Mus musculus: one gene and its partner. The protein of the gene in region 1 purifies or fractionates together with the protein of each later gene. This does not show direct contact. Links are inferred from orthologs where the notes say so. Each region holds a gene or a part of one and is shown on either strand. Other genes may lie near its edges.

Evidence for each region. Proteins that work in one complex are often made in the same cells at the same time.
Region 2: the proteins of Cluap1 (region 1) and Ift27 purify together in Homo sapiens (affinity purification with mass spectrometry; 3 studies listed by BioGRID and IntAct, with this or other methods). This does not show direct contact. The link is inferred for Mus musculus from reciprocal best matches to the Homo sapiens genes CLUAP1 and IFT27.

Annotation. Positions count from the first base shown.
Region 1 is NC_000082.6:3,932,868-3,936,516, reverse strand, and holds part of Cluap1 (clusterin-associated protein 1), read right to left. Parts: intron 2,811-3,649; coding exon 2,703-2,810; intron 1-2,702. UniProt on the Homo sapiens protein: Required for cilia biogenesis. Appears to function within the multiple intraflagellar transport complex B (IFT-B). Key regulator of hedgehog signaling.
Region 2 is NC_000081.6:78,164,006-78,167,654, forward strand, and holds part of Ift27 (intraflagellar transport protein 27 homolog), read right to left. Parts: intron 3,125-3,649; coding exon 3,065-3,124; intron 2,029-3,064; coding exon 1,969-2,028; intron 1,260-1,968; coding exon 1,142-1,259; intron 295-1,141; coding exon 185-294; intron 1-184. UniProt on the Homo sapiens protein: Small GTPase-like component of the intraflagellar transport (IFT) complex B that promotes the exit of the BBSome complex from cilia via its interaction with ARL6. Not involved in entry of the BBSome complex into cilium. Prevents aggregation of GTP-free ARL6.

The sequences.
Region 1 (3,649 bases):
GGGGCCCACCAGCCATGCGGCCAGCCTGCAGTGGGAGCCTCCACAATGAACAACTATGTGCTGGTCAGATGGAAGGAGAAGTGGAGCAGCTTGAGCATGATGAAGAGATGGAACTGGGGTGGAGAGGGTAGCTTGTTAGGAGTGGCCAGACTCACCACCTGGGGCCATGATGAGGTCCTAGCCTAGCTGCCACTCAGGGCCATGTGTGAGTTTTTGGCTACACTGTGGCAGAGGTTGGTGTTGGTGTCCGTGGCTCATACTTCCACTAGAGAACATGGGGATGTCCTGGCCAGGGCAGCTGATGGAGGCCATGCAGATGTCCAGGGGCTGAGCATAACTGGCCTGCCTCTCACTGGATGTCCTGCTCTGGAGAACTGTCCCCCGCCCCCCAGAGGCAGCACTTGGGAGAGGTGGTCTACACCTTGCCCAGGTAGCACAGTGGAGCTGGACCTGCTGGCAGAAGTGAGTGAGCCTGCCCTGAGGGCATGAGTGTAGAAGAGCTGATCTCGTCACTCATCTGCCATGGGGTGGCACAGACACAGAAGTGATATACCCCACCCCACAAAGCTGCCTTCAGGGTCATGAGCTTGGGAGAGCTGGCCCTGACTCTACCAACTACAGCACTGAGGAGAGCAGGCCCTGCACTTCGCCTGAGCAGCACAGCAGAGCTGACCCTGGTGGCATGAGTGGGTGTGGGGTATTGGGGTGGGGGCAGTGCATGTGAGCCAGCCCAGAGGTCGAGAACTCGGGAGAGCGCCTTACCATTTGTCTACCATGAGGCAGCATAGGTGCAGGGTGAAGCCTTGCCTCCTTTGCAGCACACCGAGTGTGGCAGTCAGGAGAGCTGGCCCTGCCCCTGGTCAGGCGAAGCACTCGGGAAAGTGGGCCCTGTACCTCACCTAATCAGCACAGTAGTGCTGGCACTGGCTGAGGGGCAGTGGGTGAGCAAGCCCCAAGGACAGAGTGAGGAAAAGCTAGCCCTGCTACTAGCCCTCTGCCCCTTTTCCCCTTGTCACCTAAGGCAGTCAGGAATGCCAACCCTGGAATCACAAGGGAGAGTGAGCTGGCCCTGCCCCTTGCTGGCTGCAGCATTCTATAGAATGGGTCCTGTATCTTGCCTGGGCAATACAGTGGAGCTGGCACTTACGGTGAAGGCACAGGTGAGCCTGTCCCGGGGGTGTGAGTACTGGCCCAGCCCTCGCAGGCTGCAGCACTTAGGAGACTGGGCCCTGCTCCTTGCTGGGCAGCACAGTGGAGCTGGCTCTGGAGGCATGGGTACAGGTGAGCTGGCCCCTAGGGCACAAGAGCAGGAGGGCTGACCCTGCCTCCTGTTGTTAGCCTAGCCGGAGCAGTGCTGGAGAGCTAGCTAGCCCTGGTGGTGGGGATAAGGGAGAGCCAGTTTCCACCCAGGCCCAGATTTAGGACTCTGAATTGGTCCATTCCAAAATCTCTATCATTAGTGAATGGTTGGGAGGCGTGAAAGGGTCAGTCTACAGGATCTCCATGACACGGGGCAACAATAGGATAACCAGGAGAAGTTCTAATGACGATCCAATGTTGACGGTGTCACAGAAGTCAGAGATCTTGAACCAGATGAGTGACTCATTGCAATGACTCATTGCAAGAGATGTGTGGACAGAGGGGTAGACTGTGGGACACACTGTGACACACTACAGCTTCCATGATGAGATGTTTCCTGTGCTTTGTTTGTGTGTGTTTTATTGGGGGTGGGGTAGTTGCAAGGGTGGATATGAGGGGACTGGGGTGCATGATGTGAAACCCACAAAGAACCAATAAAAAGTTAAAAAAGAAAAACATATCTCCTTAGTATTTGGGGAGGAAACATCACTGAACTCCACTGTTAGGTCACATTCAGTAGAACTTTGTTGCTATCTATGGAAAAAGAAAAAACATTCCTCTTTTGTGAACCAGTGTCACTTGTACTTGGATCGAGGTGGAAGCTTCAGAATGAAAATGTGACTAGGCTCCAGACAGTGCAGGAGGAGAGGGGCGCTGCTGGGGGGGGGGGCCCAGAACTGTTAGACAAGTGCAAAGTCTTATGGCATTTGCAGATCCTAGCCATAGGTTCTGGAACTGTGCTACCTGATTTTACTCTGCAAGTACTTAAGCAGAATTTGGAACAAAACTAACATTGAGCAAGTTACAGTTTCTCTAGTGTTGGCTCCCATCCATCAAATGAGGTTTGTAAGAGGCTCTTATGTAACACCTTTTCTGTGTTAATTCCTTGGCCACAAGGGATAGACCTGCACTGACCAAAACAAATAGTGCAGAGAGCTCAGATACAGAGGCCATTTCTGAGATATCTGTGGGAAATCTGAAACCACAAATGTGAACCAGCTCTTCCCAGGGACAGAGATAAGAATATTACATGCGCAGGGCATAGTGCTGCATCCTGTATCTCAATGCTTAGGAGGCCGAAGCAGGAGTATCAGGTTGAAGGTCATCTTGAGGTACATTGTGAATTCAAGATCAGCTTAGCTACATGAATCAAACAAAAGGACTATTAGAGGCAATGCAGTTTGAGAGACAGATCCTGAAGAACAGATTGGGACAGGAAGTGTTTCCAGGGACCCTTCTCAGCACACTGTGGTTTGCAGTTCTAAGCAGCACTCACCCAAGCTTGCCCTTGGAGTTCTGAGAAACAGGCACGAGGAACTGGGTGACAGAAGGAGTTACATTACCTTGCATGAGCACCTCCATCGCTGTCCGAGGCTTAGACATCCGTCTGTCCTCCAACTCGCTGTCTGATTCATCATCCTCTTGGATGTCTATGTCTGAGTCATCATTGCCTAGCAGAAAGACCACAAGGCAGAGTAAGAGAGCAGGTCTTCCATTACAGTGTAACCTCTTCTGCCTCCTATGGCTCCAGTGCAAAATCATCTGCCTTTCTTAGTTCTCTTTTCATCCATTAGATTTTATGAGACTCCCTGGATTTATTCACAGGTACTTCGTGAAATGTTAATGTAGACAATAATATGCTGTATTTGCTTTGAGCAATTTTTCAAAGTGAAAAGAACATGGACCAGGTGTTTTCAAAGCATTATGACAGTCTGAAATTTTTACAAAATCGAGTAGCTGGCTGTCAAAGTGGAAGTCCTGGTTAACGGGGGAGAAATCCACTCTGTTCTTTGTCAGGCCATATTGCTAATTTAAGAGCCTTGATCCTAACAAAGATAGAAGTGGATGTGAAAGAACAAGGCGGGTGGGATGGAGGTGAGGGGAGAGCCAGGCCTGGGCTTCAGAGGAAGCTGTTCTGAGACAGCGCTGAAGTGACATTCTTACTGGGGAAAATTCTAGAATAAAGGCATACATACGTTGATGGGGTTGTGGCTCAGGGCTAACACATGTGCTTATTTATTTCATTATTTTTCCTGCAAAGCTCTGAGTCTAATCCCTAATACCACATACACAGACAATCAATACTTTTCTTCTAGAAAAAAAAAATTTTTTTTTTAAGTAAATTGTATCTATTCATTAGGGGAGGCATTCAGGCATACACTGCATAAAAGGCTATTTTTAGTGCCATCATTTTAAATATATTTATTTTAAATATATGACACACTGTTGCTTTCTTCAGACACACCAGAAGAGGGCATCAGATCCCATTACAGATGGTTGTGAGCCACCA
Region 2 (3,649 bases), on another chromosome or scaffold:
CAGTGTGCCATACAGAAGACTCTCCTGACACACACTGAGCAGAGTCCCTGGGCAGAATGTGAGCATCGGTTCTAATTTAGATTTTGCATCTGGTGGCAGAACCACTTGATGCGTCCCAGGTCACGATCAAACCTCTAGCACTGGGGCCCCCATCCCAGTGGCTCAGAGGGTTGGGGGAACTCACCACAGATGTCTCAAAGAATTCCAGGCCTTGACTCAGTGCCCATACCTGGGCCTGAGCTGAATCCACTGTTTGTCGGCCAGCCAGGTCTGTCTTAGTTCCCACTAAAACACCTGCTCAAAAGAAATAACCACAATATTAGGTTTTGAGGTGGCAGGGTGGCGGCAGAGAGAGGGGCGTGTGACACATCAAGTGACAGAAGCTGCCCACTTGAGGGAATATGTGCCAGCAGGGAAGGTCCCCCAAGGCCACAGAAGACAGACTGGTTTTGCTGTGCACAGGCAGCTCAGCTCAGCGCCGTCACACGTGGCTTCAAAAATATATCTATATTCCTCACCTCCTTAGGGCTGGAAGCACCAGGCAGGCCTGGATCAGGTTTAGAAGAGCATTTGTGCTAATTCTCAGCTCATGGAGCCAACATCGGACGTGGTCATTAATGCTAATCTCGGGCCTGGGCTCAGACTCAGGGACTCAGGTAATTGAGCTCCGTTCCCAGCTGCCTTGGCTGTGCTAATTTCTCAGTCCGTCTCTGGAGGCCGCTTTCCCTGGCCTCTAATGAGGAGAATTTGTTGATCTCACACAGGGATGAGAAAGAACCTGATTTAAAGCGTGCAGGAGTGACAACCGGGATGGAATGTAACTTGTACCCAGTGTAGAGGGGGAGATGAGGGATTCTTCCCTGGAGTTAGCTTTCTGGAAACATCCATTCGGAACACAGCGCCTTCCCTTCTTTTTATCTCAGCCCGCCCAGCTCTGCCTGGTGGGTGGCATTGTCTCCCCACCCCCATGCTCGGTAGGTTTTCGAGAACATTTAGAGGCTGAGCAAGGACGCTGAGGTCAGAGAGTCAGGGATTCAGGCTCCTGTTCTATTTCCACCATGGCTTGCACAGTGACCTGATGAGACCCTTGAGTTGAAGGACGGAGTCAGAGTTGGAGAAAGGCCCATCTACAGTTTGATACCTGGGAGGGAGATGCCTGAAGTCTGAGACCGGACCTTCTCCAACCACTTGGTGCAGCTGATGAAGGACTGTTCATTGGTCACATCATAGACAAGGCACAGGACGTTGGGATTCTCCCACTAAGCGAGAGACAGGAGAAGCCTGCTTTAGGGATGTGACAGGGACTCTTGGATGGGGACAGGGGTGGGGAGGGGGAGAAAAATGGGCTTCGGGGGGAGGTGGGTAAGAGAGGGGTGTGAGCTGAGAAACTGTCCCACCCACAGATGGCCACAGGTCACCACAGATGAAGGGATGCCAGGTGCAGTGGCACTCATGAGGGACAAGCAAGGGAAAGAGGAACTTGAACCTGGGTTGGGGGAATCCCTACTCAGAAGATGGCAGTGGCTGGCAGAGGCAGGCACCGCTCATCAGGAGCTGCCTGTCAATCACTGAGATGCCCCAGTCAGTAAGGTTGTCTGGGAGAGTCTCACTTTGTAGCCGAAGCAAACAGCTCAGAGAGGATGCTGACTGGGGAGGGTTGAAAAACGCTCAGGAAGGGCTATTAAAAACAGCAGGCTGGGGGGGGGGCATTGGGCAGCTACAAGGACTGACCAGCTTCGTAGCTCCTGGCACATTCTGGAGCTGGGGCTGACCATGATGGATGGGTAAGGAGGAACATCTATATTTGCCATGTGGCTCAAAGACCCAGTAGCAGGGATGCCCCTTAGAAGATCCTGCCTGGTCACTTCTGATGCTCCTGGGGCATCCCACCAGGAGCCCCACAGGGACAAGGGGTTGGGCGGAAGTGGGTAGTGAAGGAAAAGAAAAAAAAATCAGCACACTACTTGCCAACTTATCCAGCATTTCAGAGAACAGCTCCTTGCCGGCTGAGTCAAAAATGAAGAGTTCCTGGGACCAGAAAAGCTCGTGTCAGAAGAGAGTGCAGGGAGAGTTGGGCCGAGCTGTCCCACTCAGCTTCCCATACACAAGGTTTGCGTGGAGAGCGAGTGAGCATGCCCATGCGCGTGGCTGCCTTCACACGTGCGCTACCGTCTCCGATGCCCCAGAGAGATGGCGAGAACAGACCGGAGTGTCCGAGAGGCAGAGGTATAGGCTTCTGTCCACCTGGTGTGACCTGGGTGGCAGGTGGCTCACCTTGTCCAACCCCAAGCACAAAAATCGCGCGCGGGGGGTGGGGGGGAGGGGGAGGAGGCTGACTGCCCACCTGGCAAGACAGAATGCTAAGCAGGCTGGCAAGGGTCCTGGTGTCCAAAAGGCCACTCTGTACTTTGTTAACCAAATGGACTCTCAGAGCGTCTAACAATTCTTGGTAAAGGAGGTCGCTGAGGAGGCCTGGGGAAGGCGCTTAAAGTAGGACAGCCTGTCACTGCTCTGAGGCAGTGAACACGGGCTCTGTACACAGAGTTCCGAGCCTTCCCAGCCCGGGTGGAGACCCTCCCAGATGCTGCTGCTTGCTTGAAACCCCCTCAGAGGTCCCTGAGCCCCATCCTGGTGCCCAACCTCCTGCCTGGCTCTAGACCCTGAAGGGCAGCACTGCCTGCTCCACGGACTGGCCCTGTACAGTGTGGTTCCTGTCTCAGCCTTTCCTGTGGGGGGGGACTTCTGTGCCTTTCTTTTTGCTCAGATGTCTCCTTACACATCCGATGAATGCAGCCTGGGAGAGGCCAAACAAACATGACACGATGCTGCACCAGTCTCCCCCAAGAGCGGTGAGAGTCTTTGGAGGGACCCGGTTAAGAACTCAGATAAAAGATAACAAGTTCCTTTTGGTGAGGCCTGGCATCCCAATCCCCTCCCCGGTACCCTAGGCCCTCCCTCGAAGGTTCCCCGTGTCCTTGTTCCACGATTCTATTACCCTTGGAGTGAGGGAACCCCAGCTCACAGGAGCAGCCCCAAGTGACTTCAGGGCCAGGGTAGCACTCACCACACTGTCATTTGTGTCAAGAACTGGCACTGTCTTCACCACCAAATCCACTCCAGTTGTCTGCAGGGGACACCAAGATCACAGGCCTTAGGGGGCCCCACACTGGGGCAATCAGAATGAGCCAAGTCCCCACTTCCTTGAAGGAGGTGTTCCCAGCCAAGCAGAAGTCAGAGGCCGTCAGGACTTCCCAATCTCTTTAGTGAGAGTTTTGGTTTAAGAAAAGAGATATGTTACGTTCATATTTTTGTTGTTGTTTTAATCCCAGGTGGGAGATGTGGGACTGCTTCAGTCTGTCCTCAGCAGCTGACTGTGATTTGCCTCGTGCTCTGGTGGGGGCGCGACTTTGCCAGCTGAAGATAGTTTACCTTTGGAATTCTGGGGACTATTCAGAGGGTAGAAAAATACCATAGTCTGAGAGAGGAGGCTGCTGCTCCCTCTGTTCCTGCTCTCTAATGTCCTGAGAAAGGTCTTTCTCCAAGGAACTTGATGCCCCTAATCACCAGGAAGTAGTTTCTAATGATAGGGACTCACCCTTTCTCTCCCAACCTTCTTCTCTCCTGTTTAATGTTGGGGGCTAAGGGTGGA